Arabidopsis thaliana: one gene and its partners. The protein of the gene in region 2 interacts with the protein of the main gene of each other region in a pairwise test. Each region holds a gene or a part of one and is shown on either strand. Other genes may lie near its edges. The genes, in order: AT1G55880, AT3G44590 and emb2004.

Evidence for each region.
Region 1: the proteins of AT3G44590 (region 2) and AT1G55880 interact in a two-hybrid assay, tested with the Arabidopsis thaliana proteins (one large-scale study listed by BioGRID).
Region 3: the proteins of AT3G44590 (region 2) and emb2004 interact in a two-hybrid assay, tested with the Arabidopsis thaliana proteins (one large-scale study listed by BioGRID).

What each region holds. Positions count from the first base shown.
Region 1 is NC_003070.9:20,895,304-20,905,824, reverse strand, and holds AT1G55880 (Pyridoxal-5'-phosphate-dependent enzyme family protein), read left to right. Parts: upstream 1-4,577; 5' UTR 4,578-4,684; coding exon 4,685-4,882; intron 4,883-4,991; coding exon 4,992-5,066; intron 5,067-5,233; coding exon 5,234-5,377; intron 5,378-5,472; coding exon 5,473-5,862; intron 5,863-5,966; coding exon 5,967-6,202; coding exon of another isoform or gene 6,203-6,206; exon of another isoform or gene 6,207-6,310; coding exon 6,311-6,533; 3' UTR 6,534-7,032; downstream 7,033-10,521. Other genes in the region: TIM50 (Haloacid dehalogenase-like hydrolase (HAD) superfamily protein), read right to left, coding at 405-450, 541-643, 739-895, 988-1,086, 1,177-1,281, 1,450-1,563, 1,653-1,714, 1,802-1,838 and 2 more; AT1G55890 (Tetratricopeptide repeat (TPR)-like superfamily protein), read right to left, coding at 3,265-4,461; AHG2 (Polynucleotidyl transferase, ribonuclease H-like superfamily protein), read right to left, coding at 7,466-8,204, 8,287-8,557, 8,646-8,772, 8,973-9,086, 9,162-9,481, 9,590-9,720, 9,795-10,162.
Region 2 is NC_003074.8:16,159,828-16,168,870, reverse strand, and holds AT3G44590 (60S acidic ribosomal protein family), read right to left. Parts: upstream 5,163-9,043; 5' UTR 4,987-5,162; intron 4,896-4,986; exon of another isoform or gene 4,893-4,895; 5' UTR 4,889-4,892; coding exon 4,801-4,888; intron 4,571-4,800; coding exon 4,350-4,570; intron 4,240-4,349; coding exon 4,213-4,239; 3' UTR 3,874-4,212; downstream 1-3,873. Other genes in the region: CYP71 (cyclophilin71), read left to right, coding at 22-107, 196-284, 491-730, 823-944, 1,232-1,307, 1,436-1,543, 1,625-1,801, 2,243-2,460 and 4 more; AT3G44580 (uncharacterized protein), read left to right, coding at 7,868-8,359; AT3G44570 (retrotransposon ORF-1 protein), read right to left, coding at 9,036-9,043. UniProt on the Arabidopsis thaliana protein: Plays an important role in the elongation step of protein synthesis.
Region 3 is NC_003070.9:3,456,396-3,468,581, reverse strand, and holds emb2004 (RNI-like superfamily protein), read right to left. Parts: upstream 6,948-12,186; 5' UTR 6,812-6,947; coding exon 6,764-6,811; intron 6,681-6,763; coding exon 6,407-6,680; intron 6,188-6,406; coding exon 5,975-6,187; intron 5,840-5,974; coding exon 5,781-5,839; intron 5,680-5,780; coding exon 5,542-5,679; intron 5,345-5,541; coding exon 5,270-5,344; intron 5,163-5,269; coding exon 5,079-5,162; intron 4,969-5,078; coding exon 4,907-4,968; intron 4,802-4,906; coding exon 4,732-4,801; intron 4,546-4,731; coding exon 4,470-4,545; intron 4,373-4,469; coding exon 4,242-4,372; intron 4,125-4,241; coding exon 4,065-4,124; intron 3,974-4,064; coding exon 3,899-3,973; intron 3,810-3,898; coding exon 3,705-3,809; intron 3,606-3,704; coding exon 3,510-3,605; intron 3,415-3,509; coding exon 3,334-3,414; intron 3,243-3,333; coding exon 3,141-3,242; intron 3,061-3,140; coding exon 2,992-3,060; 3' UTR 2,796-2,991; downstream 1-2,795. Other genes in the region: Pol{lambda} (DNA polymerase lambda (POLL)), read right to left, coding at 1-14, 205-295, 384-472, 556-609, 702-881, 1,081-1,143, 1,298-1,428, 1,508-1,586 and 3 more; CPISCA (chloroplast-localized ISCA-like protein), read left to right, coding at 7,242-7,422, 7,674-7,892, 8,280-8,422; AT1G10490 (GNAT acetyltransferase (DUF699)), read right to left, coding at 8,657-8,896, 8,991-9,056, 9,210-9,335, 9,466-9,594, 9,792-9,939, 10,069-10,138, 10,235-10,349, 10,443-10,622 and 7 more.

The DNA of each region.
Region 1 (10,521 bases), on a different chromosome or scaffold from region 2:
AAATATTAAGCGTACTAGAAAAGGTAATTTACTCTTTTTTTTAGCAATACATACAAATTGACGTTTCAACCAATAATTTCTCAAAGTTCATAATCATAAATCATTTGTCAAACCAAGTAAAAATAAATCAGAGAAAAAAAACGGTATTTGTTAGTCAACGAAAAATGAACCTTCCATATGATAATTTCTTTTTCGTTCTCATAGAAATTTTCTATGTAAAGCAGAGAGAAAGACGAGGAAAATTGGGTAACATAAAAACTCTTTGATGACAAAGACAGTATTTTAATTCGGATTTTACCTAATAAATCCATAGCGAAGAACGGTAGCTCATGTTCCTATTTTATGGTGTGCACCATCAATGATGATATAATTGTCTCTCGCTCTATACATAAATCTTAGATCCTTTAACGCCTCCAGAATCGACCTTGTCCCAGTTGTCCTTGCTTTCGCCTGCATAGAGATATGACACTCTTAGTGGGACACTACCAACAGATTTTGCATTGATACGATAGGGTAAAAAAAAAGCTCTGATCGACTCACTTTTGATACTCTATGGACCTGTCAATGAACTCTTTGGCAATATCTTTTCTCTCAAAAGAGGCCAGAACCGGTCTGATGTCTGCTGGACTGTTACGTGCAACATCTGCATAACCCAAACAGGAAGATCAACCAAACAAAATTGATACAGGCAGTTCACGGACTGGAACAGAACTTATCCCTCAGTTCACCAATACTTACATTCAAGGAAGGGTATCAGGTCAACTAGGGCTGTGTCATCAGCTTCTAGTTTGTAAGGCTTGATTGGCACGCTATTTTCTGGCTGAAGGGTTGATTCAAAGGCATTTGCGCTAACAAACAGAATCTTCTTCGGATCTCTGTTCAGCTTTGACAGATCCTGCAGCAGGAATTTTAATAGTTAGTTGAGAAACAGTTACTCGGGCAAGTCAGAAAGTATGCTTTGACAAGATAAGCTAGCTGCTTACGTACCCTATAGTGCTTTCCATTTTCATATTTAGTAGCGCCTCTTGCTAGCTTATAACGTATGTAGCCATTTGGGTCTAATTTCTCACAGACCGGGAGTACATACTACAAGTAATGAAACAAGCGTTAGTAGTCGCATTACTATGATATTACAAGCAAAAAAGGAGAAAAAAGAAAAACCAATTGGGACTTTACCATCTCCATCTGGTCAGAATACACGACAATCTCATAGAATTTCCCAAGATGCTCCAAGAATGCATCGACACCTGGTCTTTTGAATGTCCTCCACCCTCTTTCCCGCTAGACATTTTTGTAAATGAAAAGGCAGGAAAAGTTAAATACAGCACTACTTAAGAAAACAAAGTAGTTCACCAGAACTGCTTTGTTTCATAACATAGATACTCTGAGTCACATATTCACATCTATGATGCAAGTATTTTGATGATCAGTAAATAAATGAAATGTTACCTTCCAGTCAGTGTAAAGCAGTGTCTCATTTAAATCAAGAACTAGAGTGAAGACATGCTGTTCTGCGGGGTGCAGATCCGGAAGAAGCTTTTCCGAGAGAGGTTCCGTGAAGCCCTATAAGGAACCAGACAAAAAATAAGAATTCTAGAAGAAAAAAGAAGATGCAAGAAAAAGAAAAGTTGTGTCTCGGTGAAAGGACGTACTTTCACTTGTTCCTCCACAATTTCCCTAAGCTCTAAATACTTATCAATGGCTCTAGCAGAACCTGATCAAAATTCAAGCAAACCAACTCATGCTATGCTTAATTAAAGACATACTATTAGTTATGATGACAGAGGCGCAAGAACTATACCTGTCATTGCAGCAGAGTACAACTTAGTCTGATATTTCTGCAGAAAGATGAGTATAAAGGGTATTAATTCAGAGAAGCTTATAAACAATACCTTGAAGCAGAGAAACATGGCAGCACGCATTTGAAAGCCAGAGACTAAAGAAAGTCAACTAATACAGAAGCAAGTTATGATCAACATTAATTTGACAGCGACTCAAGGCTACCAAGCTTACTCACATCAATCACATCAATGCCAGAAGATTTAATAACTGGTGTCTTCGTAGCTGATTCTCGGAACGCCTTAGTCTTTTCATTCACTTCATCTATCGTGTAAGCTGCATAACGAAACAAACAAGTATAATCAGAACTAAAAAGAGTCAACATAACGAAGAAAGACACAGTTCTACCAAGTGAAGAACACTGAATTCAAAAGACTGATATGTGAAAATGTAATGCAATGCCACGATTAAGCAAACCATAACACATTTTTACTCGCATTTCACAGCAAAAACAACTTTGTACTAGAAATCTACGAGAGGGAAAAAAGATAATTCATGAATGCAAGTACATACCAAAACTTGCGTAACCAGTAGCAGCGGTAGCACCAGTGAGTGCCCAGAGGAGTGCGTAACCAAGATACTTAAGACCTTTCCTCTCCTTTCCCGTCGCAGCCGCGGCAGCAGCTTCCACTTGAGGAGGAGGAGGAGGTGGCGGCTGATTTGGCGGTGGAAAATCAGAAAACATCGACTGGGTAGAGGTGACTCCCGAATACCTAGATGTAGAATTCGTCGAAGATGCTTCCGCAGAGAAACATCTCAGATTACGAGATCTGAGCTTTGCTAATCTTGGCAACAGGCGAGATCGAAGAACAATAGACGCCATTTCCGATTTCGGCGTTTTCTTCAAACTCTGTGAATGATGAATGAATCGCAGGGTTGAAGTAGGGTTTTGGAATTGATCGGAGAAAAGGAAAATTAACAGATGGACTGTTTGGAAACAGGTTTTATGGGCTCGTTTTAACTCTCTTATCCACTGTTTGGTAGTCGGTTTATTTCTACTCCGATATTTTTCTATTTTTTTTGCTGTTTTTTTTACTTGTTTACCAAGAAGAGAATCTATTTTATTTTATTTTTGCATTTCGGGCTTTTAATAACTAATTAATGAAGTTATTTTACACTATTTATTTACCAAATAAAATGAAAATATTTTTCCAACAAAAATAATAAATTCATTCGTGTCAAAAAGAGAAAACAAATAACCAAAATTTATTAAATTTGTAGGGTTTCTTCTGCCTAAACCTCGACTACATGCTGTTTTTTGCACCAGTGAAATAAGCGAAACTACATAGAAAGAAACAAGTCTTACTTCCACAGAGGAAAGTTTAGAGAAGTAGAAAAGCCACAAAGCAACACCAGCAAATACATATAGCTTAAGCTGCTCAGACACAATTCAACGAGACACTTAGTGAGAGAGTAGCAAATGACTTACTCTTCCTGGGACGGCAAATTTAGCTTCAACTTTAAGAAATCATTGGTCTTTGCAATCTTCACAATCTCCTCAGCTTCTTCTCTCTTAGACCCTTTCACCAATTCATCAACTAACTGCTGCAACGTTGTTTGACCGACAAGATACCGCTTACTGAATGTCTCCTTGAAGAGCTCAATCGCAGACTCAAAGTCACCTGCTTTACACATAGCAGGAAGCAATAAAGCAAAGGTAGCTTTATCAGGACGATAACCATGCTTCACAATTTCTTTGTACCACGCTTCAGCTTCGTCCATTTTTCCTTCGTTGATAGATCCTCTAATCATAGCATTGAAACTGAAAACATCAGGTTTGAGCCCACTAGCCTTAAGTTCTCCAAAGAGATTTACTAGCTCTTTCGATTTCGCCTCATTGGCTAATCCAAGCAGCCTAGCATTGTAAGTCCTGATGTCTATTGCTACATTCTTCTCCACCATTTTAGCCCATATCTCTTCCCCTAGCTCAAACTGTCCCTTTAGATACGAAGACAGTAAAAGTGTGTTGAATGTAACTATATCAGGTTTTAGTCCCTTGTTCTCAATCTCATCAAGCAATGCAACAGCTTCAGGTAAAGAATCCTTCTCACACAATGCCTTAATCAAAGTATTGTAAGATACAATATCTGGTTTGATTGATAACTTTCCAGGTAACTCATTGAAAAGTTCTTCAACCACATCGAATTTCTTGGAAAGTCTATATGCACTAAGCAAGGCATTGAAGGACAACACTGACCTCTTGCAGTCTCTGTTTGGCATTTCTTCGAACACCTTCTGTGCATTTTCAAACATGCCGGCTTTTCCATACAGAGAAATGATCCTCGCCGCGAATCCCTCTTTTGACATGTCGCGGTACTTCTTCTGCTCCTCCAAAATCTCTTCGACATAGTGTAATCTCTTTGCGGCTACGAGACGGCGCACGGTTCTATCGTACACGGCTATGTTGGTCCGGAACCGCTCCGACTCACATGCCTTCTTGAATTTCTCCACGATCCGTTTGGGGTTTCGTTCGCCATTCACGAGACTGGTTAGTGACTTTTGAGGAGGCGAGATTGCGGCAGTGACTGCGGTGGGTTCGGAGACTACGGTGGCGGCGGAGGAAAAACGGCGGATCGGGCAAGTGTTGAAGGTGCCACGGAGAACGCGAGATAGAGACGACATCGTTTTGGGAGTGAGAGCAAAGGGTTTCAGCCTTCAGGAGACGAGTTTAAGAACAAATCAAATGAAGGACGCATCTGATAATTTAAAAAATGTTAGTGCCTTATTTTTAACTAAAGGAAATATTGGGGGCTAGAATAACAAATAATAGAAATAGTGTTGTTTTGCCGACGACCTAATTTTACTTCACCGGTTTGATTACGGGAGAAGGCGAGCTTGAGCTTCAATGGCGCCTGTTAATATGACTGGCGCTGTTGTTGCAGCAGCGGCGTTGTTGATGCTTACTTCTTACAGCTTCTTTTTCCGTCTCTCCGAGAAGAAGAAGAGGAAGGAGAAGTTGACTATGAGAAACGGGCTTGTTGATGCCATTGGCAATACTCCTCTGATTCGTATCAATAGTCTCTCTGAGGCTACTGGATGTGAGGTTTTTCTCGATGTTCTTTTGCTATTTTCTGTTTGGTCTGACGAACTGATAGTGTGATTTATGAGTTAAAGATGTAATTTTCATTCTACTTGTTTCGTCTGGTGATCAGATTCTTGGGAAATGCGAGTTTTTGAATCCAGGAGGTAGTGTTAAAGATAGAGTTGCTGTCAAGATCATTCAAGAGGTACACTATGATTAGCATTGTAAAGGTTTCAACTTTTAAAAGTTTTTTGATCATCATAAACCTCTCTTAACAATGTCAGTGATTGAATCATCAGCTTGGCTATTTATATTAGTGGTTTTTGAAATCGAGAAGCAAGTCCATTATGTTTTTTTTGTTTCTCTGTTTAGGCTTTGGAATCTGGTAAGCTATTCCCTGGAGGAATTGTAACTGAGGGTAGTGCAGGAAGTACTGCCATTAGCCTTGCTACAGTTGCTCCGGCTTATGGGTGTAAATGTCATGTTGTTATACCTGATGATGCTGCTATTGAAAAGGTTATATCTTTTAAATACCTTGATGATGATTCAAATTCCCTTGTATGCATTATTGTACATACACTCAAATTTGTATCGTGTTGGACTTATTTTAGTCTCAAATAATTGAAGCCCTTGGAGCTTCTGTTGAGAGAGTGAGGCCAGTGTCAATAACTCACAAGGATCACTATGTCAACATTGCGAGGCGACGGGCTGACGAAGCAAACGAGTTAGCATCAAAGAGAAGACTAGGGAGCGAAACAAATGGCATACACCAGGAGAAAACTAATGGTTGCACGGTTGAGGAAGTGAAAGAGCCTTCCTTATTCTCAGATTCAGTTACCGGTGGCTTCTTTGCAGATCAATTTGAAAACTTGGCAAATTATAGGGCTCATTATGAAGGTACTGGCCCTGAAATCTGGCACCAGACTCAGGGTAATATTGACGCCTTTGTTGCTGCTGCGGGTACAGGCGGGACTTTAGCTGGTGTTTCAAGGTTTCTTCAGGTATAATTACTCAGGGCTTATACTAATCAAAGATGTAAGAATGAGTAATTCGTGGATGTTATAAGCAAAAGAAAAACTCATAACTTGTTGGTGCATTTATACAGGATAAGAATGAAAGAGTTAAATGTTTTCTGATTGATCCTCCTGGATCTGGTCTGTACAATAAAGTAACACGGGGAGTGATGTACACAAGAGAAGAAGCTGAAGGGCGTCGGCTAAAGAACCCATTTGATACAATAACAGAAGGGATCGGAATCAACAGGCTTACTAAAAACTTCCTGATGGCAAAACTTGACGGTGGTTTTCGTGGGACTGATAAAGAAGCGGTTGAGATGTCGAGGTAGTGCTCATTCCTTTATATGTTTTGACATAACTGTTTTAGAGAGTACTGATAAAGATTTCGTAAAAGTTGGATCTTGATATCTTTCTCACTATATTATGTTCCCAGGTTTCTTCTGAAGAATGATGGGCTCTTTGTTGGAAGCTCCTCGGCTATGAACTGTGTTGGGGCAGTAAGGGTGGCTCAGACCCTTGGTCCTGGTCACACAATTGTCACCATTCTTTGTGATAGCGGAATGAGACATCTAAGCAAGTTTCACGACCCTAAGTACTTGAATTTATACGGGTTAAGTCCAACCGCTATCGGATTAGAGTTCCTCGGCATAAAGTGAAACTACAAATCTGTTACAATATCTTCAGATCAATCAAGCCTGGGTGGTCTGCAGTGGTTTTGTTTTGATTATGTTTTAGACTAAGGGTGATATATTCTTGGTAAGACTTCAGATTAGAAGACAACAACTATGTCTAGAGTCAACGGAAGAATGTCAATGCAACAATGCATGTGTCTGACCTCTAAAACTCCCATAACTGCATCTTACACCTGTCTTCTCAATTGTTTACAAGTCCCGACCTAATGGGGCCCCTTACAAGATTATGGGAAACATGTATTCAGATTTTGTCTTTGTACCTATTAGATTTTGTCTATGTTCAATGCATTAGACTGGAAAACTCAAAAGTGTTGATAAACATAGATTTCCATGTTTTTCCATAAATAAGTCGGTTGTGTAAGGTCTCATGATCCCAATAATGGCAAGAAATGGAGTCAATAAGACACTATTGATCTTATCACTTTCTTTCTTGAAGAATCTATGCATGATCCCAATCTTGTTTCTCTCTAACGTTCTCCACACGATTGCCGTGTGTAACAAGGAATCCAAATCTTATCGTCATGATCAGGAGGAGCTTAAAAGTCTGGAAACGGAAACCAACCTACATGAAGAAGAAGAGGGTTTGATAGAGATCTGTCTGGTGAGAGAAGCAAAGTTGGAGAGTGTGAAGAAACGTTGGCTGAGTAGAGAAGATTATTACGAGGAGATGATGATCATGGAGATTTGGGAAGAACTTGAAGCAGAAGATAACTTGATTGAGATTGACATCTCCAACAGATCAATTGTTTGACTTTATTAGTACTGATAGTTCTAGATGTTTTATCCGCACATTATTTCATATGTTTCATTATCAAAATTTTGGTCATCGCAAAACATATTATCTTGTATTATATTATTGCGTTTCACGTTGACAAAAAAAATGTTAGATGGCATAGTTAATTACTCGTAGCAGTTTCGACTTCAACTCTATTGGCCAAAAACGCATCAATCAAATCCGATGCTTTGTGAGTCACAGTGACTGTGTTCTCCTCTCTTGTCTCAGTCTCGCATTGTGCGTTGGGTCTTGTTCTTGATTTGACACCAACTGTTTCAGCTTGGTCAGAGAACATGACCTCTGAGACGTGTGAGCTGCAAATCTCTTTGTATGCTTCGTAGTCTGCAGCTCCAGTGTTTCCTCCTTCAAGGATCTTGGATAAAGGGTGAAGAACTGAGACTGGACCGTCGCTTGACTCCAGCTGCCGCTTGAGTGCTAAGAAGTCCCAGACAAGTTCTGAGTTCTTAAACAGGACAAAAACCGCAGAGTCGTCCACGTGGTAGACAGAGGTGACAGAAGCAGAGCCAAAGGCTTTGCATATGCATTCTTTGATCCCTCTCGCCTTAAGTTTTCGTGGGAAGTTCCAGATGAGGACAATGTTCTCGTATTTGAACTTTGAGACTCGCCAGTTATCTGCATTACTATGGCCTGTTCGAAGGTCGATGATATCACCTCTTGTCCAGCTGAGATAAAGACGGTTGATGTACTTTTCAAGTTTCTCGTTCTGGGCAAAGTCATCTAACTGCGAATGCTGTTTGAAGTCAAAACCGAGATGATTGCATGCCTGCGCAAAGATGCAACCTGTCATGAAAGCATCATAACCGGCTTCGTGTTTTCCTCCTGCATTCCAGTTAGAACACCTGAAATAGAGAAAACAGCCGTTAAAAGCAGTTTAAATCAGAAAACAGTCAAGTGTCATGCCAAAAATAGGGAGGAACAAACCTAACGTTGTCTATTTCAACGTCAATATTGACACGCTGCTGAAGAAACGAGTCAGAGCTTCTTGAAGAAAACTCGATTTGCGGACATAACGAGGAAAACGCGGAAGACAGTGATGTACTGGACTTTTTCATCCGCTGATGCAACATTGGATTCACGTTTAAGAGTATTTTGGTGTCAACAATATAAGGAAAGTGACTGTTAATGGAGGCCACGAATTTCTCAGCTGTTGAAGGAAGAGGACCCACAAATTTGCTGTATACATGTGCAATATCTGTATCAGATGAACAAGATGTTAGAGTTAGGCATCTTTAAGTTACAAAACCTTCACAAACGTATAGAGAAGCAACTTGCTAGTTTACCGAGGAAACAATTGTGACCAACGATCAGCTTTTTCTCTGAAGCAAGCAGATCAATCACTTGACGGAACCCGATTGCAGATTGTATTTTTCTTTCTGCCAATCTCTTGCGTTCGTCCTTTGCCTCCTTCTGTGAAAAGAGACAGTAATGGTATCTAAATCAAAGAAGGCCTTTAAGTAGAAGAATCAGTTACTACACTATAGCTACATCATCTCTCGAGCCTGAACTTTGCTATCATCAAATAATTCACTTCAACACTCTCAGTTAAAATCCAAAGGACATGTAATGTTTAGTAACAAATCTTTCCAGCAACGTAAATGCTACCTTACCATGAGGTTTTCCTTGTCGGAATCTGAATCAGTATACACAACAATGTCTCGTGAAGAAGAACTTTTATCATTTGAATGTATGTACACAAGATCTCCAAAATGCTTTCTTAAAACCTACAAAGCCAAATCCAAAACCAACTGATTAAAAACAAATAGCCTGAAGAAAAGATGTAAAACAGAGAGCATTACCGAGTTAAGAACTCTGAGCTGATGAGAAGTGAAACCCTTCAGACTGAGAGCAGGACGCATATGGTGAAACACAGTTTCCATACTCTGGTTTGAACCATTTGAAATCCTCGGAAACTCAGAGGACGCATTCCCACCATGTAACAGGCCAGACCGCCATTCATTCAGCAATTTCTCCATCCTTGCAGCGAAAAGAACATCTGCCAATCGCACCAACTTTAACTCTTCAGTTTCACCCGATGAATCAATTCCGTCCTCGCCGTGTAGCATTTTCAAACGCTTACTTGCCTCTTCCTCTTCTCGTCTGGACAAATAAGATATTCCTGGGATTATTTAAATATATGTGAATTCCTCACATTCTGGAAACAAACTTGAAATTGCTACACTTTTTCTCTCTTTAGAATCAAAAATGAAAAGGAGAAAGGAAGCACCTTCATGTATGCAGGTGTTGAAATCAAACTGATACTTGGCAAGAAAATCCATTGATGTAGTCTGACAGAGAAATTCATGAGCTGGTGGATCAAATGTGAGTTCTTGACGAGGAAATACAAAGAAATTGTGCCTGCCCCCAAAACGAGACCCGTTTAGTCAAAGCTACACAATTGAAGCTAAAGAGAAAGAGAAAGAGAGACTAACGGGTAGGACACGAATGACTGAGTACGAGAATCCCAACGAAAGGGACAGACACCAAACTGAACGACGGCGAATTTCTCGGCGGAGTCTTTGACTTTGAGGTATCTGACGTCGTAGCGGTCGAACTCTAAGGAGTCTCGCCACGGAGCGCTTGTCACGCCAGTCATCTCAAGGTCAATCGCCACGAAATCTGCAGCCTTTACGAGTGAGCGTAGATCATTCAGCGTCGTCTCGAAGTTCGACCTTGTCACATGCTTCAACGGAAAAGCCGCCGTCGCTGAAGCTGCCGTTGAAGTAGTAACTGTCTCCGCCGCAGAGGAGCTGAAGCTGCAGACAAGAGACCTCAAAGGCCATCGCTTGTGCCGGCGCATTTTTGAACGGAGAGAGAGAGAGAGAATCAAACGACCATTTTTAGGTTTTGCTCTCGGTGGAAGGAAAGAGGGAAAGATGATGATTCCGAGGAAACGGTACCGTTTTGTGAATTTCAGTCTTTCGAAATATACACTTGCACAGCCTGCCGTTTCTAGGTTAATAAATACTGCAAACATTTGTCTTAACATGACTTGAAACAGCGTGATGTATTTTATTTTCCCGATGAACAACAACAGGAACCAAATTCTCGCCACTGCTCTCTCACACAATGGCTATTGCAGAAGAAGTTACTGTCTTTGCTGAGACTAGCTTGGGAACTCGAATCGTCATGGCGGTTCCTCTGGATATCACAGCAGCA
Region 2 (9,043 bases):
TCTTGTATATTTTTTCACTAGGTATGAGAAAAGTTATATGCATCGAGATGTAGTTACACATGTTGCTGTTTCAGCAGCTGAGTTCTTTATAAGTGGAAGTATGGATGGTAATGTTTCTCATCTTTGTGATATTTATGATTTCATTCTGGTTTTGTAATGGCAAAGCATAACATATGTATATTTTGCATAATCTAGGTCACTTGAAATTTTGGAAGAAAAAGGGTGTTGGTATCGAGTTTGCTAAGCATTTCCGCTCCCATCTCGGTCCAATTGAAGGTCTAGCGGTAAGTATCGCGAGTGGTTTTTAAGATACTGTCACCTCAAATCCAGGCATATGCTCCATGTTTTGAAAGATTAGCTTTTTATTTGTTTATTGAATGAAGATAGTTGACCTGGCGGGGAAATTATAGTTAGACATGTTATGGTTTCCGCAATTTTTTTGTTTGTGTCTAGTTCTATTATCAACCAATGACTCGTTTCAGCAATGCAGGTTAGCATTGATGGTTTGCTTTGCTGTACAATCTCAAATGATCATGCTGTTAAAATATATGATGTTGTCAACTACGATATGATGGCCATGATCCGTTTGCCATATATTCCTGGTGCTGTTGAGTGGGTCTACAAGCAAGGGGATGTCAAAGCTAAACTTGCTGTCAGTGACCGAGACTCTTTGTTTGTGCACATTTATGATCCTCGTTCTGGTTCCAACGAACCCATTGCTTCAAAAGAGGTTTGTTTCAATCTCTTTTTCTTTTGTTGTTATTTCTTGACTCATCATTTTTTATCAAAGCTAACAGTTTTTTTTAATCTTTGTATACCCAGATACATATGAATCCAATTAAGGTCATGAAGTACAATCCTGTTTCGGACACAATGATCTCTGGTGACACAAAAGGAATCATTGAGTACTGGAGTGCAACTACATTACAGTTTCCCGAGGATGAGTATGTCCTTGTCTCACTTCTTATCAAAAACGCTTTTATTATTCCATTTCGGTATTGCTGTTTGTTTTCTATAAATTGGAGCGTGTAGGATAAGAGAAGCATACCTGTTTTTCTGCGTGTGGCTAATGTAGTTAAATATCATATTACTGAGAATGATGCAAAGAGGAGCCTGTAGTAGAAATACTTTAGTTGCCAACTTCTTAGTTGACCATCTTTAGAATTTCAGTATAGTTGATGGGCTGCTTTCATTAATGGTTCACAGGTTGACCTTTTACTTGTTGTTGTAGGGTAAACTTTAAACTGAAGAGTGATACAAATCTCTTTGAGATTATAAAGTGCAAAACAACAATCTCTGCCATTGAGGTACTTATTTGGCATTTAGTATCCTTGGTTTTTCTTTACATCCTTAGAATGCAGCTATTAGCAATTGATATGTCTGGTGAAAATCATAATGCAAATTTGGTCTCTAAGTTTAGTGAAATTCTTTTCAGGTGAGTCCAGATGGTAAACAGTTTTCCATTACAGCTCCTGATCGTAGGATTCGTGTGTTCTGGTTTAGAACTGGTAAACTGAGGCGGGTATATGATGAGTCACTTGTGGTAAGGTTACATACTCTATGCTTCTTTCCTTACATGTTTTCACGTTAATCTGTCATGGTTAATGATCCATTCCACTATTAGGTGGCCCAAGATCTGCAGAGGAGTGATGCTCCCTTATACAGGCTTGAAGCTATTGACTTTGGTAGAAGAATGGCAGTTGAAAAGGAACTTGAAAAAACCGAGAGTGCTCCGCAGCCCAATGCTGTGTTTGATGAAAGCTCTAATTTCCTTATATACGCCACTTTTCTTGGAATAAAAGTAAGGAATCCACTTATTGTTTTCGTTTTAAATTACCATAGACTAGCATAACAGTCTAGACATGATAAGTATCCTGTCTCACATGCACATGATACAATTAACGAGCTTAAAGACCTGGGATTTTCACCTTTACTTAGGTGATGACCAAGATATAATGTGGTTACTTCTTTGTACCATATATGAAAGTGGTTATACTTTCTGCCAATATAGTGAATTTAGAATAAAAGAAGCTTGAGATTTTTTTTGTAAATTTGGGTGTCTAAGGGGTAGTGGGAGGAGCTCCATTATCACTAACCCTCAATATCTATGTATTTTCAGCAGATCATTATGTAAAAGCGGACCAGTTTTTATGATTTGATTGTATCAGAACTCTTCCATGCGTAGTAAATGGAATCATGACAAGCAACTGCTAATTTCTCTGTCTACCTTTTTGTTCTCTAGGTAATAAATTTACACACCAACACAGTTGCAAGGATCCTTGGAAAGGTGGAGAGTAATGAAAGGTATCTGAGAGTTGCATTATATCAAGGTGATCAAGGAGGCAAGAAAGTTAGAAAGATTCCTGCAGCTGCAGCAAATGTAAATGAAAGCAAGGAGCCTTTGACTGATCCGACTATCCTATGCTGTGCCTTTAAGAAACACAGGATCTATATGTTCAGGTACGTGACTCATATTGTGCTAGAATGACTCATCTTTATGTTGTGGGAGAAAGAATTATTTTTTCGCACCTTTAGATTCTACTTTGTAGAAAGACCTCATATGTTTTCTCTAGATATCCCGAGAACTACTTTGAATTTATTATCAACAAATTGGTTTCTGCAGTCGGAGAGAGCCAGAAGAACCTGAAGATGCAAGCCAAGGGAGAGATGTGTTTAACGAGAAGCCTGCTGCTGATGAACTTATGTCTGTCTCAGATATTGGAAACTCAGCCACAACATCCCTTCCAGAGAACGTGGTATGTTTTCATAACCCACAATGTTGGTATCTATTTTACTTTTCATTACGTACTGTAATTTGGATCCTTAACACAATAACTCTTTTTAACTCCTAATCATCCAGATAATGCATACTACGCTTGGTGACATTCACATGAAGCTTTACCCAGAAGAATGTCCCAAAACTGTGGAGAATTTCACAACACACTGTAGAAATGGCTATTACGATAACCACCTTTTCCATCGGGTTATCAGAGGATTTATGATACAGACTGGAGATCCTCTTGGGGATGGTACTGGAGGACAGTCAATTTGGGGCAGAGAATTTGAGGACGAGTTTCACAAAAGGTAAACATTTCTTACAGGCTGCTTTGAGTTTAGCCATCCGTTTAGAAACAAATGAAATCTAACTTAGTTTGATACGTTGTTCTTTTACTTGGCCTGCAGTCTAAGGCATGACAGGCCGTTCACATTGTCTATGGCAAATGCCGGCCCAAACACAAATGGGTCTCAGTTCTTCATCACAACAGTGGCTACACCGTGGCTAGACAATAAGCACACTGTTTTTGGAAGAGTTGTGAAGGGAATGGACGTCGTTCAGGTATGATTTGAAAACCAAAAAGAATATTTTTACTTGTTGGCTTAGTGTGACTTAGTGCCTAACCATAAAACCAAATGAACAGGGTATAGAGAAAGTGAAGACAGACAAGAACGACAGGCCTTACCAAGATGTGAAGATACTTAATGTCACCGTTCCGAAATCTTAGCATCTTTGCTACTGTCTCAAAGATAGTGAACAATCTATGCTGATCCGTAACCCCGTGATTGGTTCTATGCTGGGAAGTTGTTCTTGCGGAGATGGATCGAACTGTGGGATATGTTTGTTGTACCCGAGCAGATCAGGTTAAGTTGGTGGCATCATCTTCTTGACACTAAACATTATTTTATGTTTTTGTCAAACAAATTTTATGAGAATGCTTAGTGAACAAAAAGACTTCAACTTCTAATGTTACTTCAATTCCTCTTATTTTCTTGAAATAGAGTTGATCTACTTTCTTCTAATTTATCCAAGCTTCATGGGTTTATGTCTGAAACGACAACACGACAACACCAATGTTTGAAGTTAATAACATAGAATCTCAATTTCACTTGGATTTGGATTTTTCTGTTTATTTGGGATCACTAAAGATAAACTTTTCCATGAGTGTATCAAATTCTAGCCCTCTTAGGCACTTATTTTGTGATATGCTAACATACTATGAACTAAACTATGTAAATTACAAGCTTAGACCAGATTCAACATGTAAATCAAACGGAAAACGATAAATGAATAACCCGCAAGGTCGCAACATAGTTGAAAAAACTCTTCTTGCTTCATTATCTAAGGAGTAAAATTCGTAATCCAAGAAGCAAAAACCAGAACCACTAAGAGAACAAAAAATCAAATCTCGACTCCTTTCCGTGGGGACAAAAACCTTACTCGAAGAGACTGAATCCCATGTCCTGCATCAAAGGTGAAGGATATAACAAAGAGTCAGATAAAGACCAATATCAAGACCATAACAAAGACTAAGTAATAAGGAAACAAAATGATAAAGAGAGAAATGCTTTACATCATCAGACTCTTCTTTCTCTTCCTTCTTGGCTTCTTTCTTCTCCGCAGGGGCAGCAGCACCACCACCACCGCTTGATGGAGCAGCTGAAACAGCCACACCACCACCAGATGGCACAGACGCTAACTTCTCCCTACCAGAAGCAATCAGCTCAGCAATGTCTTTACCACTCACTTCTTTCAATAGAAGCTCAATGCTCTCTCCATCAACATCAGCACCAACTACATAACAAAACATAACAAACAAAGTCCTTTAATGAATCATATACAGTGAACAAAACTATCTTCTGTTCTTATACTCTTCAACAATCAAACTAAAACTCTTATAGCTAAAACAAAGCAAATACAGAATCTTCCCAAATCATCATTGCTACTACTTCGCCGATCACAGTAACACAATCCAATAAAATCAAAACACATTCATAAACAAATTCAAAAGCACAGAAATTTACCAGCTCCGATGATATCTTTGATATTATCAGCAGAAGGATTAGCGTTTCCGCCCAAAACGGCGAGGAGGAAAGCAGCGGCAACCTTCATTTTTCTGCTTTTAATACAAAACCAAAACCAAATCAAATTACTCAGAAATAGAATTAAACACAAGGGAATCGATTGAGAGACATTGGAAGAAGAGTTACCAAGAAGATTTGAGGAGCAGGAAGCTACAAGCTTTTGGTTGTTCGGAGAAAGTGAAAACGAAAATGAAGGAAGAAGATGATGAGTTAATTATATATAGTTAGGGTTTTCTTCGGTTTCCGGTTAGCTACGGTTCCGGTGTTACCTTCAATTGTTTTTTTTTTTTGTGGGGTTCAATTATGAACATTTAGGTTTTTGAATATTTTAGGTTTTTCGATATTCCGATTAATCATTTGATTAACAGTTCTGTTTGGTTCGGTTCCCTTTTGATTTTGGTTAGTTTGAATAGGGGTTTTATTAACCATTCGATTATTTTAGAAACTTTGGTTTAGATACGGTTTGGTTTAGTATATTATTATGTATTTTTAGAAACTTCGGTTCGGCTACGGTTCTGCTTAGCCACACATCTAAACTGTTCATTACTCGATCACTTATAACTTTTTTAGAAACCGATCTAATCGATCACTAGAGTTTTCTCCATAAGCGAAAAACTGATTTATGGTTATTTATTGATGCTAATAACACGATATCTGTTATACTGGTAAGGAATATATTTTTGAAATTTAAATATATACAATCAAGTAATTTCTTAATTTTTGATGTCCAACAACCCATCAATTGGCCAATTTTCGCTCTTTATGTACGCTTTCCTCAAAGACAAATGCTAATCCAAATATATCTCATGCATTCACATTCAAGCAATCAATCATTTAATCAAAACCATAAACTATACGTTTATACCCTACGCAATCATTCACATTCTACCAAATCATCAAGTAATCACAAATTGATAAACCTTATGAACCTTAAGCTTAACTACTCTGAAATTAAACGCTAAACTATATGATATGTTGCGTTTTTGGTGTCTTAGGTCTCTTAGTTTTGAGTAGTTTGTCGTGTCGTAGTCTGTCTTTTGCGTCTTTTCGGTTGTGTCTTGAGTCATTTGCAGGTTTTAGGTGTTTAAGCGGAACACAAATGTTTTCGGGACTTATCGGGCTCATTTGGACAAGAAACGATAGCAGGAATCGAGAAACCGGGGTCAGAAACATTGGATCGATCGATCCCACCACTAGATCGATCGATCCAAAACTCATCGTCGAAGACAAATCATCCGCCAGCTCGGGATCAATCGATCCTAGGTGGAGATCGATCTATCCACCACTCATCCACCGAAGTAAAATGTCCGCCAGCTCGGGATCGATCGATCCAACACTCTCGATAACCAGACCGAATTTCCTTAACCGGGTTTATATGTCTTTTTCTGTATTTGGGTATAAAAAACCCCAGGAACTTAATTTATCTTTTTACGCTTCTTTTTCAGTAACATTTCTAAAAACTTTTCTGTAAGCACTTTTGGGGATTAGAGATTCATCCTTCTTGACAATTTGGAGAAGATTTCTAAACTCTGTTCTTAATTATTCTATTTGAATCATGTTTTCTTTCATATCTCTTTGCTTGATTTCTATTGCAATGTCTGAGTAACAATTGGGTTTTAGGGTTCTAAGTAGGAAGTCAATGAATTAGTAACTAAGCTGTCGTAGGGAATTCTCAATCTTTAGGTTCTTCAATTTATGTGTTCTTAATGCTAGAATAGGATTGATCACCTTGTTTTAGAACTTAGGTTTTTCTATGCATTAAAAGTGTTCGATAGAATGCCTAAACGAATATAAATTGAGCATTGTATTTCTAGCCATCGAAAGTTGACGTTAGAACGCATTGTGAACTAAATAAACCAACTCATTAATGCCAATTAGGAGACTACAAACGAAAGTTTAGTAGTTGAGTAGTCAAATTTAGTGGCTAGTATCTCGAGAGAGAGTTAGTTTAGAATTATGTTTATGTTTCAGAACGATTCTTCATAATTGAATTCTCTATTTTGTTTATTATGCTAATCTTTGTCTTTTGAAATACCCTAACGCCCAATGTCTTTAATCCATAATTTTAATCGTTTATTTTCTTGCATTTTAATTTATAATTCAAAAACCAAACAAACAACGTTTTTGCTTTAGCTAAGAACGAGTCTCGGAAATCCTTAGAGTATCTTTGGTCCTTGTGGATCGACCTCGCATATACTACCTTGCGGTTAAGTTTATCGAGCAATTACTCGAGCAATCAAGTTGGCGCCGTTGCCGGGGATCGATCGATACCAATGCGTCAACATCATCTGCTAGAACATCATCGATCCAGTCGTTCCTTCGAGCTTCAACATCATCAGCCAGAACGGGATCGATCGATCCCACCAGTAGATCGATCTCAATTAATCCAAACCGATTGGATTTCTGCTAACCGGAATTGAACCAAACTCCACTTAAATTGAACCGGAACGACGAACAGTTTATCACCGGATCAAGTTTTCCTTCGCCATTCAAGAGCTCCACTTCAACTTCTTCGTTTTTTGTTCATCAAGAACACCAAAATCACTAAACCCTAACTCTCTCAATTCTTAGTCGTTTTTGTCAAATTTGGTGCCTATTTCAATCAGACTTTTCCTCTTTCCATATCTACTGTTTGTTTTCTGGATCTGCAAAGGTATGTGCTCGACATTCCCTTTTTTTGTTCTGTTTTCAAAAGTGATAAATCTCCAATTCCTTGAATTTTCATGATGTTTATGGGTTATCTGATGCTAGCTTATTGTCTACGATGGTTTTGGAAACCTTTTTAAGCCTTTAATTGCTGGATTAAGGCCTAATTTGAGATCTGAAAATTTCCCCTTTGGTAAAAAACGGACATGTTCATACACTTTGAGAAAAACGGATTTTAGAGCTTAGAACTTGATTATTCATGATGCATTGTTTAGTTTTAATAACTAAAATACAATGTTTAAGTTCTTTGATTTATTTTTGAGTGATTTCTTGACTTCACTTTGTCTCTTTTGCAAAAGGTATGGGAAAGACAAACAACGCTGCAAGAACTTCTCGAGCACGCACGAGCACTTCCGGAGCATCGGCAAAAGAAGATCCTAACAAGCGTCCTGTTATCGGCATATGGGATAAGGAAGACACAAAGCTACTGGCAGCTTTGAAGCATATTGATGTGAGGCCAACGCGAGTCGCTTCCAAACCTTCTCTACATGTGCTTGGCATGTACGATTATGTCGTGATGGTGTTTCAAACACTCAGTATAGGACGGTATTGGGAAATGGATGAGGATGTATATCCTAAACTTGTGAAGGAGTTCATTGCCACGTGTCGCCTCACGTACGCGAATCCAGAGAACCGAAAGCGAGTCAAGGAAAACTCACATTCTTTCTTAACAAACAGCATTACAGCAAGACATTGTTTGAGATCTGCGACATGTATAGATTTACGAAAGGAGAAGCGGTTGAGTTCCCGAAGTTGTCTCCTGCGGTTGCTGATGACTTTTGGAACACGATAGCTACAGAAACATATAAGTCGCGCACATCGAAGATAACATATATTAGGAGTCCTATTGTGCGATATGTTTTTGAAGCTCCTCGGTAGCGTTCTGTACTTCAAACCGGTGATCACAGCTGTGCCTGAGACCGAGTTACCACTACTTTTCTATGGGGTCAAACATCGACTAGGCGTCTACTCGATCTTCCAACTCCCAACACTAATGTAGCTGCGGTTTTGTGTGACACATTGGTGAAGATTAAGAATAATGTTCCTACATCAGCCGTGCAGAGCATTTTAGCTTGTACTGCACTTCTCCATTGTTCCTCGGCTGCAATCTAGACCTCTCTAGGGCTGAGTCATCCATTAAACGAGAGCGAATGGACTTGACATACCTGATTCATACTAGTTTCACCAAGCCAGGAAGTTGACTGTACCAATTTCTGGGCAGGGAAGGTAACACTTATTTCTGCACGATACCCAACCAGAATATTACTTCACTTCTCTCCGCGACGAACCTAGTGTTTGAACCTAACGAGCAGTACTTTGTTCCTAACCCTTCTGAGACCGTGTTAGATTAGTAGACAAGTGACAGTCTAACACTAGGTAACAAGGTACTGCTCGTTAGGTTTGAACACTAGGTTCGTCGCGGAGAGGAGTGAATAATATGCTGGTTGGATATCCTGCAGAAATAAGTGTTACCGTC
Region 3 (12,186 bases), on a different chromosome or scaffold from region 2:
CCTGAATCAGTACCCTGCACAATAAGGGAAATCATTGAGGAGCTGTGATTGAACAAGAATTTTTGTTACACATGCAACTCTGAGAGAACAAAGCTTTATCTAATGCTAAAAGAGATCATTTTATAAGATACTGAAACAACTGAAGTAATGTGTTTTCAATGAAGATGAGATCCTCTCTTAAATAATTTTATCAGATCATCTTACCTCTTCACTGTGGGTGCTGAAGATGAGATCCTCCCTTAAAAAGTTCATTTCTTTTAAACGCTTTACAAACTTTGTCAAAAATCCCTTGTGACTGGTCAGGACAATAAGAAAAAACAGTTTAAGTAAACTTTGTTACAGGAAACTAACGCAGGAAGATGAGGAAAGAAGATTGTAGGTACCTTTGTCCATCAGGATGGGTGACAACGATATCCAGATCTCCACAAGTAGCTTTCCCACGTCTATATGATCCTCCACATACAATATTCACCTGCAGTAAAGATGTTGGTTAGGATTTCACTAAACTTTTATCACCCAAATATGGAGCAGACCGATAAACTGAATAGTTCATACGCCAGGCAAAGTTTCCTCGCCGACTCTCTGTAAAAGTTGTTCCATCTCTTGCACCTACAATACAGAAAGTGAAGAAATATGAGGAGAAAATTACAAGAAGGATAATAAAGACAAACAAAATTCACGTTGAAGTTTAAGAATCGCACCTCCTGACGTGGAATTCGTGTTTTGATATCATCAAAATATTTCAACCCCAACTTCTGTGCATGCGTTAGTGAATCCTCATTCTTCAAGTCTTCTAGTGTGCGATGTCCTTTCTCATATAGCTTGAGTGCAGTTGCAGGACCGACACCCCAAACTTCCCCGAACAAACTGATTGTACGAACCTTCAACCATAGTAATGAAACATTTATAGTGGTAAACAAAACATATCAGACATCTCTAGCTCCAGTTCGGTCATTGACAGTATTTTTCTTTAAAGAGAAAAAGGAACAAGAGAAAAGCAAATGGCCTCTACATGTGAGCTTGTATCTAATTGAAAATGGGAGATAGCAAAATAACTATAACCAAGGACTTCAAAATTACCTTCTCATCTGTTTCAAAATGTTCAAGCTTGGACAACTTCCCTGTTGTCACAATCTCTTGAATCTGCCAAATTCAGGTAGAAGAATAAGACTTTGTTCTCACAGAAATACATCAAAACAAAGGTTATAGGTATGCACTAGGAAAAGGGTAAGTGTTTGCAGTTTTGACACCCACACACAGAACCTAGACAAAACATTTGAAGCATTTCTCAACTTACATGATCTCTCATTGCCTTTCCGATTCCAGGGAGGTGTTTGAGCTGATCAACGCTTTCAATCCTAGTGGGGAACTTTTCAATGACGGGGATAGCTTTGTAATAGCTAAAGGACCGTCTATCTTCACCCAAAGCTTTTGAAAAAAAAGAAAGAGTATTGTTACTTACTTACTATAAGCGAGTAGTCTAGAATACAAACACCAGAGATTGTACCTCTATATATGTTAATTAACTTTCCAAATATCTCAGTGATATTTCTGTTCAAATCGGGTGGTTTGTACACCGATGTGGACTACAAATCAAAAGAAGATCAATGAGAACTTCCAATATCAACAACATTATTTCTTTCTGAAAATGCAGATATAGAAAACAGGTTTTTGTTTAGTTAACTTCTAAGAACCAAAAGGATGCATCAGCAAAGGAGTCACTCAGGCTTACCTCTGATTGTGGACTAGTGGGAGTCTCTGCGATGCCTTCTCCAGGACTGGCGCTAGTAGAGGGAACACTGCAACTTGTTGGTGAATCCGGTGATCCTTGTGTATTGCTATGACTTTCAACGCCTTTGAAGTCACCAGCATCAGGAGAATATCTGGTTCTTTTTTGAGGTGAAGATTGATCCTCGCTACCACTTATTGCAGGCAAAGACTTTTTCGGCTTATCAACTTCTTCTGAGTCAATTTTGAGAACATACAAATCTTCATTAGCCTTCTCTCCTGAAGTTAGGCTATCTTCTAACCACTGGTAAAGCATAAGGCGCTGCAAGGAACAACCAATGTATATAAACTTGTAACACTGGATAATCTCTATTCGTAGATAAAACTTGTACCCAATTAATCTAATCGTAGAGAAAACTCATGAACAACACAACAGATAGTTATAAAAGATTGTTTTTTCTATATGACGAAATCCATTTTTTAGTAAAAACTGAAAAGAACGAAAAACCAACTTACTGCTGTAAAATGCGAGAGACGTTCTTTCCCAAATTTGTGGAGAAGAGCTTCGAGATTCATGGCAAGAACATGAGTGACTTTCTTCGTTACCCGATCTTCTTCGATCACTGCACCCATTTGAACCAGCTTCTGCTTCCAGATCTTCATTCAAATAGAGAGAAAATTACAGACATAGCATGCAACAATTAAAAAGAAGATGTTAAGGAAATTTGTCGAAGATGATGCAAGTAAAATAACACTGAACAAAATTTTCAGAGTAAAACCTGCAATCGACGACGCTGGACTCCGATTTCAACCATGAAAACTACCATTCCGGCGAACATCCCTTCCGGGTCCGGAGACGGCGACCGGTTTCTCCCTCGCTTTGCCGCCATTTTTCTCGCTTTACTCGTAACTCACTCGAGTTTTGTCCACCAAACTAGTATATGTCTTTCAAAGCAGGAATACCCCAATTAGGCAATTACGCTCGTTTCAACGAACCGAATCGGAACCAAACCGAAATAACCTGTTCTAAACCGAATGAATTTTTTCCTCATTCAACGACCAACTTTGACTTAAAATGCCTCTCTTTTGTTAGTCAACACCATTTTTCATGAAAACTTCCTTGAATTAAAATTAAATCTCACCGTAAGGAACAACAAATGTTTTATCTCTCGCTTGAATCATTTCAACGTCATAAATAATGAAACAACAACTAATGGTGCAAAATTACAGAGTGACAAAGTCTTCTTCACTTCAATGTCTCTCCTAGAAGAAAATTTCTACTTCCTTTTCAGTCATCTCAAGAACATGATCTCTAGCATCCGTGAGCGCACTCTGGATAACACAAAAGGGAAATTTCTCAGCAATGTCGAGCGAAAGATTTGATTATCTCCATTGCACCATATGTTTCTTACCTGTCCAAACTTGGTGATGAAGTTGTTCCCAAGGTTTATCGATGTAACTGTGACATCTTCATTGGCCTTCAATGCTTGAGCAATGGCGAATGCTCCATCATCCTACAAATGAGGCAAAATAATAAGATTGACCTGCTTACAAGTCTTAAAAGAAGACACAGTATTGATAAACGAAGTAGCGCTTTTTTTTTACCCGTATTTCATTGAATCCTAGATCCACAGATGTCAGAGCTTCATTAACTACTTTCAAGCTTCGAGCTAAGCAGGAAGCTCCCTGCAAATAACGTACCACATACATTATGAAAACATATAGTTCGTAGCTATATTAGAAGTACAAATCTGATACTCATAAAATCTGTCTGCAGGAACCTCATCTCTAAGTCCATTTGCCCGCAAGTCCAAAACCGAGATTGTATTGTTATATCTCAACATGTCTGCAACATGTTCAGCACCCTTGGCAGCTATCTGCAGGAATAAGAAATGAAAGGAACCATGACAAAACGAAATAAGTAACTGTGAAGAAATACTTTTGTTCCTAGATAAAGAGTTATGGACAGGCTTTACCTGACACCAACCAAGTTTGAGCGTCTTTACATTTCCATGGAACTTGAGAATTTCAGATAATGCTTTAGCTCCGTCTGGTCCTATGGGATTATAACCAACCTCTAACTGAGGAAATATTGAGAGTGGTAGTGTCATTATCATACTAGTTATACGTAAACAAGGAATCAAAGATGAGAAGGGTTTTTGGCACTGACCGTCGTAATAATTGCATTATCTTTCAGAGCTTGAGCTATAGCATTAACTCCCTCCGCGTGGATGTTATTTCCACCCTATTTTACCAAAAACGTGTTAGCAGAACAAATAGCTCGATATGGACGCAAGGAAAACTTAGGGAGGCTGGAGAAGATGGTCACTTCTCACCAGGTCAATGGTTGCAATTGAACGGTTTTGCTTCAGAGAATCTGCAATCTTTTCAGCTCCCTGAAACCATTGAAAATCTTTAAGATAGACAACAGAGCAAAAAGAGACAAGGTTTTCCGATATTAGAGAAGCACAGACACAATCCAGATTATTGTTATAAATTGGATATATATGTACCTCATCACCTATATCATTCATGTACAGGTTCAGCCAAACCAAGCTCTTGCTTCTCTTGATGTATTCAGCTACATAGAAGGCACCCTTTGCGGAAATGGAGTTGTTGCCGAGATCTAGCAAAGCCACTTTCCCTGCACACGAAAATGCATCTCGGTATAACTACTGAATTCTACAGTAGAGGTACGGAAGAGTTAATATAGACGTATGACAAGTGTTCTATTGGAAAACCTTTGTGGGAAGATAGACCAGCCATCAAAGCACGAGTCCCTTCGTCTCCAATAGAGTTTCCATGCAAATGAAGTTCCTGCAGGTGGAAAGGCCAAGGGAATAAATCAACTGTTGATGACCTTTATTCATTGGTTGTCTCTGATGACATCAGAAATCACCTTTAATGCATCATATAAGATAACAGATCTAACTATGAAATGTCTCTTTTAATATAGAAATGGCACACGATATACATCGAAAGAGACATGAGGAAAGTTTGTACCCGTAAAGACTTGTTACCCTCAAGCCCTTTAGCTAAAGCATTGGCACCCAAAGCACCACCGTAATTTCCACTGAAACAGATTATCCATAAATCGGTATGTCAGGGATATGAACTATACAGACAAAATAAAAAAAGCACGCCCAAAAGATATATCCATCTATAGTCCTAAACTCACTTGAGATGTAAATTGCGTATTGTATTATTCTCAAGAAGAGCTCCAGCAAGACTTGTGAATCCCTACCTCCATTTCAAAAAAAGAAGGGAAGAAGACGCAACAGATTTAATTCATAAACTTGGTATGTCAATCTGAAATATAACTGTACAACACATGAACAGAAAAAACTTACAGAATAGTCAATCATGTTATTATTCAGCTCAATAATCCTCAAGGTCGAATTTCTCTTCAACAATTCTGCGATTTCCTTTGCACCCTGCGCAAGAACATTGGAACTACTTAACGTATGAAAACAATTTGAAGGATTGTGACTAACTTAGGAGCTTGAAAAGCATGTAAATCAAAGCATCTGCTCAAACAAACCTCATCTCCTATATCAGTACTGTTCAGCTGAAGTATCTCAATGCTAGAATTTTCCATCAGTGTAGCGCATAAAGTCTGCCATAACCAGAAAAAATGAAGCGAAACCATTCTCAGCCAGAAACGTATACATAGAGAATAAGTTCCATGTGATTTTAGAGCTAAAGATATAAGCAGAAATCGATATGATCTCTTCTCTTGATGGAACTGAGGAATTTCTACCATTGGACACCCGGAAGTTAAATTTAAAACTAGTATATCATATTTCCACTAACCTTAGCTCCTTCATCACCGATAGGGTTTCCAGAAAGATTAAGAATTTTTAACATAATATTTGATTGAAGAACACCATCAAAGGCTTTAACTCCTGCAGCTGTAATTCCATTTGCAGAAAAACTGACTTCCTCTACAGTCTGAAACACAAACATGGGTATGGTTAGTCAATCAACATAAGAATATCAGGACTCTAATGAGTTGGTAGATAGCAGATGTGAAAGAAGGAGAGAACTATAACCTGATTATACCCAAGGCTTTCAGCAAGAAAGAATAATCCTTCATCTCCAAAGTTGCATCCTGCAAGATAAAATATACAGGTGAGCTATATTTGCGTATATTAAGACAAAAGGAAGATGGCACTACAGATCACATTTAATTCTAATGTAAATCAGTAATAAGTAATGTCATAACAGTTAAAATCATTCAATGCACCTGACATGTCAACACTTCTGAAGGACCTAAGTTCTTTTGCAAATTCATTAAGCCTCTGCTTGGCCTCTCTATCAACCTTAGCAGCAAATCCTTGTAACAAATTAGTACCGGCCCCGATCGACCATTTCACTCCCTGTGTAGAAGAGTTGTTTTCTCCAGCAGAAGTCTTTGGAGACTTAGGCGACATGAACTTCCCAACCACTTTCCACAAAACTGTCAGCTGAAAACACAAATTAGTATAGAAGATTTGAGAGAAAAGACGAAACTTTTATCATTACTATTCTCGTATAGATAGCAATCACCGAATTACATGACAAGCAAACTAATTTCCGCTCTATTACTTCCACATGAAAGAAGAAAACACAGTAATACTAGTCCAAGTTTTGAGAAGTGACGGATAAACAAAACTAGCTCTCCTAGCAATGCTCGTACCGAAAGTGACGACAGCAAATGATCCCAAGGGCAAGACGGAAGACGCAATCTGCTGCACTTTAGCATTAGGAAAACCACTAGCCGCTTGTGACTCCTTATAAACCCTACTACGCTTCGAGCCTCCATCTGAGTTATACGCCGCTTTGATCGCCGGAAGTCTCGGACTTCGGTGATGAATCACCACAGGAGAAACAAACAATCGGTTCCTAGAAACGGAGCTACCCAACAATTCGTACCGGAACCCACTCTTCCATTGGCCCAACCCAGAAGAAGCCTTCAAAATTCACAGAGAAAGAAACCGAATTTAGAAGCTACAAGAATTGGGAAAAAAAAACAAAGGATGAACAGTAGAATTACCTTGGGGAGAGAGTGGAGATTGAGGGAGCTGGTGGAAGAAGAAGCCATTAAGGAGCTGCTTAATTACGCATAGACGCTTGAAACTCTCGCTGTGTGAAAACCAACCACTGAAGAATTAGGAAAGTGTAAGAGACTAAAAGAGACGAATTGGAGTAGAAGAGAAGAGACGATGATGAAGATGAAGTTTGTTTCCTTCGCGCTATGTGTGTGTGTATTCCTTTAGGTACGGGTGTGACCCGACTATCCACCGGGTCGAAATCGGGTTTAAATTTATGACCCGATAGATTCGAAAGAGAACGACTTTATTAGGGTTCATAACAAAAATAATCAATCACCTACCTGAAAACAAATAACATGTGGACTTAAAAAATTGTTATGCAAAAAGATTTGTTTTTTTCATTGGTCTTCTTCTACTACACGCATTTGAATCAGCAGAGAGATTAATTCCTCAGCTCGGCGATTCAATTCTCAGAAGATTATGGCTTTCGCTACTGGAATCACGACGTCTTCAAATCCAACTTTTCTTGGTCTAAAGATCTCCAACACAAGTCTACGTTCTGTGGTTTCATGTAATTCGATTTCGTTTCCTTCTTTGTCATATGTGAATCTCAACCTCAATCGGAGAAACCGCCTTTCTGTTCGATCCGCTTCGGTTCCAGGTTCGAATTGATTCACAAAATTGCTCTGCTTTATTTTCCTATGAGAGTCCTTTTTATTTTTTCTGGGTTGTTTTTGTTGTTATTGCCATTCTGGTTTTAAAATTAGAAACTTTCTATTGAAATTGATAACTTTCGTTGGTGATGTCTGAGAATTCTTAAAAAGATGGTAATAGCTGTTACTTAGATATGTGTAGTGAGGTTCTGCTCTTGAATTCAAAAAGTGTAGTGACTTGTGCTCTTGAATATCTCAGCTGCACCTGCAATGGAGGGACTGAAGCCGGCGATATCTCTGTCAGAAAATGCACTTAAGCATCTGAGTAAGATGAGATCAGAACGTGGGGAAGATTTGTGCTTGAGAATTGGAGTCAAACAAGGAGGATGCTCGGGTATGTCCTACACGATGGACTTTGAAAACAGAGCAAATGCAAGACCAGATGATTCCACTATCGAATACCAGGGATTCACTATAGGTAAAAACTATTCCATCACTATGTAGGATCAACTCTTCTAATCTGAGATAATAAGGTCTGAGAGTAAGATCAGCTAGTTTCTTGATGATGTAGACTTGCCATACTTACAATATGAATGTCAGTTTCTGTGTTCAAGTATGCATCCAAATAAAAAAAAGGCTGAGATTGTTCGATCAAATAGGCTAAAGTTTTATTGTCAAGTAGATGGTCAGTTGATTCTTTTTGATGTGCAGCTTGAATTATATACTACTTAGCTGCCGATTCTTGAACTGAGACTTCTAGTCTCTTGTTGTCTTTTGCAGTCTCTTGTTGTCTTCTGCAGTAAAGTATTTTTACATCTGTGAATTGAAGGCTCAGGTTTTTAATTTGTACTCACTTCTTTTGCAGTTTGTGATCCAAAGAGCATGCTCTTTCTTTTTGGAATGCAGCTTGATTACAGCGATGCTTTGATTGGTGGAGGCTTCTCTTTCTCGAACCCTAACGCTACACAAACCTGTGGATGTGGGAAGTCTTTTGCTGCCGAGATGTGAACCAGTTTCACACATTGCAGTAGATAAACAATATAGTTATAGTTAATAGAAAACTTTGTATTATGGTTGTAGAATGCTCAAACAGAATCTGTAAGTTTTTTTAAAAAAATTGTATGATCAAACCATAATTTTAATAAATTATTCAACCTGGTTACAAAAATTCGTAAAAAGACCAAAGATCAAAATTTTCTGGTCACTGTTACAAAAAAACAATTGTTGACATCAACCTCCATCTCAGGCTCTTCTCTTTTTGTTGGATGTGGAGGAATGCTTATCATTGCCTCTCTTTTTGGCTGATTTATCAAAACCACTTGGCTTCTCTTTCTTGTTATCAGTTTTGGTGGACTCTATACTGATAAGACCACTTGAAGAGATCTTCGACTTTTGCAAAGCCTCAGCTTCTTTGTCCCCAATAGCAAATTGGTCAAGTAGCTCAGGGTCCAACAATTCTTCTATCCTTGCCCTCATTTGTTCCTTTAAACCCAAGCATTGAGAGTGTGAGTGGTGTTTCGATTTTACATGGAAACCAAAACAAAATATACGCATGCACGGAAACAGAAGCGATTACCTCAACTTCTTTTGCTCCCTCCCTGAGATCTTCGTCTACTGATACTTTGTGAGGTTCAAGCACTCTCTGCAACCAAAAGCAACCATGAATCATTTCAGTCAGCTCGATATTCGTGTATGTATTTAGGGCTTAGGGTTGTTAATTTTCAAAAATGAGGGAATATTATGACTGAGCAAAAGAACATGGAAATGTTATGTAAGTTTTCCCATCTGAACTTACATCTTTCAACCGAGGTAAGGTGGATTCGAGCTCTTTTGTTGCGATTCCATTCAAATATTTGTATAACTTCTTTCCAACCTTCAATAGAAGAGAGTATATTTGGCCCCTCTCCAACTGCATTTGTCTCTGTAAGTCAACGTCATGATCCAATTTAGAACAACCAGATGTGTCAAGAAATTTATCTCCACATGTGTGGTGAAACATAATTCAGCTGGTCCAGATCATCGATTTATTTTAAAGAGTAGATATGTTATACCTCGATGCTCGAGAAATCTGACTCCTGCAAGCCCAAACACAGGAGTACAGAAGCTTGAACATACGACAGCGAGACTGGGAGCTTCTCTTGAAAATAATGATGAGCTAGAGTTTTGCAGATGTCATAAACCTTTGAAAAGATAACAAAGTAAAAATAGTTACCAAACCAAACGAAAAGACAGAGTATCAAGCTTGAACATGCGGTTAGTATTATTTGTCTGAGTCTGTACCAGAATCTTATGATTGTGTAGTTATTTAAGCAGATTACATATCTGACTATAGTACATATTTCCCTAAAATAAGTGACTCTCAGAGAGTGAATCTAACCAGATTGAAGTCAACGAGATTGGCAGTGTATGCTCTGAATCTCTCCATATCATAAGGTGAAAGAACTCCGTCGAGTTTCTTCAAAAATCCATCTGGTGAATTTCCAGTCAAATCAACCTCTGGGAAGTTGATCTTAGGGTTCAAAACACTAACAAAATTGTGAAACGAGTATATTATCAACACAATAATACCGCACCAAGAAAAGTCTAATCATCTTAAAATAGTATTGCAGAAAAAGTCTAAATTTGCATGGGGAGAGAATATGATTAGTGCTAACCTCATTGCAAGTTTATAATCCATCTTCTTGAATTTATCACTCAACAGTTTAGAGAACCTTATCCTGAAATCTGAACAGAGTAGAAGAATTTGCCAAAACATTAAAACAAAACCTGTCATCCTTAAAAGCTACAGAAACATTTGATTCCTGTTAAGAATTTACAAACCTTTATAGAAGGGAGCAAAGAAGCCCAGTTCATCCGACTCATCAACTTCGAATTCATCGTTGCTTAAGGTTAATGGTTTCAGAAGCATACATGTGTGCTCACCAGTCACAGCACTCTGATCCAACCATATTTTAGAAATTGTGTTATGAACTGCTAGACAACACTAGAATTAGTAATTCAGGAGAAGAGGGAAAGAGGGATTCTCAACTGGTATTTGACTGATGTAGAATGGAGCAAATTTATGTTTTCTCCAGAAACGGAAGAGGTCCAAAGTAAGCCCAAAAGAGACACCGATGTAGTGGAGTCTCTCAGGTCGTCGATCACGAAGAGGAACCAGCAAAGGTGGAAGATTGGCACGAGGCTTTATCTGTTCCTCAAGCAAAGAAACCTAAGGGAAAAAATTCAAGTAAGAACTAGAATGCATGATGCAAAACCCTACAAGGGTAGATTAAAATAATCAAGAACCTTTGCAGCAGCCTCGGTAACTCTGACTGGTGAAGGCTCCACTTCCAGTTCATCATCACCTTCTGATATTGAAGCTAGCTGACCCTCAAAGTATCTGCACGTATCAATCAATTAAAATATTTGCATGTATTAATCATCTAAGTCGTAATCATTGCATTTACCTGGTCAAGAGTTCAACCGCAGCAGACCCATATCCCATCTACATAGAATGTAATCAAGAATTTGTTAAATCTCACAAGAAACCTACAAGACTAAAAAAATGAGGCGACTAAGAAACTTTACCTTCATAGCGTTGGGGTGGACTGCTATGCGTACTATACGAGCACCAGAAAGCTTTGGAAAGACCACGTCCCGGAACTGTTCACAGAACTTCCATGGTATTTGATCTCCATGTGGTGAATGACCTTCTCTTAAACTTTTTTCAGCTGATTTCCGAGATATCTGTCCTTCGAGACAGACCTGCATAAATATCAATTTCAAGGATACTTAAGACCAGTTACATCCAGAATCAATCACATACGAACGACAAGATATGAGATTCATGATTTTACAAAACAAAATTGCTGCAAACAAACAATTCAAGCAGACTGATAGCTGCTTTTATTCTTTGTTTAGTCCAACTAACTGTTTTTCTCCAAACAAACAATTTCAAAGAGCAGAGCAGAAAGTAAGAAATCGATACCTGAATAACACACAGTATGTCAGGAAGCTGGTTTTTGGACTCATCAACAGGACCTGTGCCAAAAAGAAAATAAGGCAATACTCTAAATCTGATGATTATCTCTAGCTATGAAAAGGAGGAACAATTGCATACCGAGCAACACAAACAAATGATGAGCAGGAGCATCCGACAAAAGTTGAAGATCATTAGGAGAATTCTTGTAGTGAGAAGAGACACAAAGTGCCATCATTCGCTGTAGAATACCACTTAATGCCTTATTAACAAAATATAGGTAGCAAAAAGTACGTAGGTTGTAAAATCAACTATTATTACCTGTAAAAACAACTCACTGTCCTTGTGATAAGAAAATAAGGTGTCTCGGTTGACATAATAAAGATCACACTGACTTGGCAGAGGATGGCTACAAATGCAAGAAAAATAGAAATCATTTTCTAGATCACTAGTTGGCAAGAAAGGATGGCAACATTCTATTTATATGAAGTGAAATACCATACCAAGCAGGATTTGGAAGACAATTAGCAACATCAAGGCATAGTAATCCATTAAGCCAGGATTCAATTGGATCTCCAGAAGCGTATCTTATAGACTCACTAAGTTCTATTTTCTTGAAAAGGCAACCTGAATCCAAAGAAAATTCAGACAGTCACGGAGTTCCCCAAGATAACGAATCACATCAACTAGATAGTGTAGGAAAAAGAGGATATCTAATACTACATACTAAGATATGAAAGTAGTAGGCCCTGCGTGAGAGAACATTAGTTCTAATGAATATGAACACCCATCAGACAGAGGACTACTCTGCATG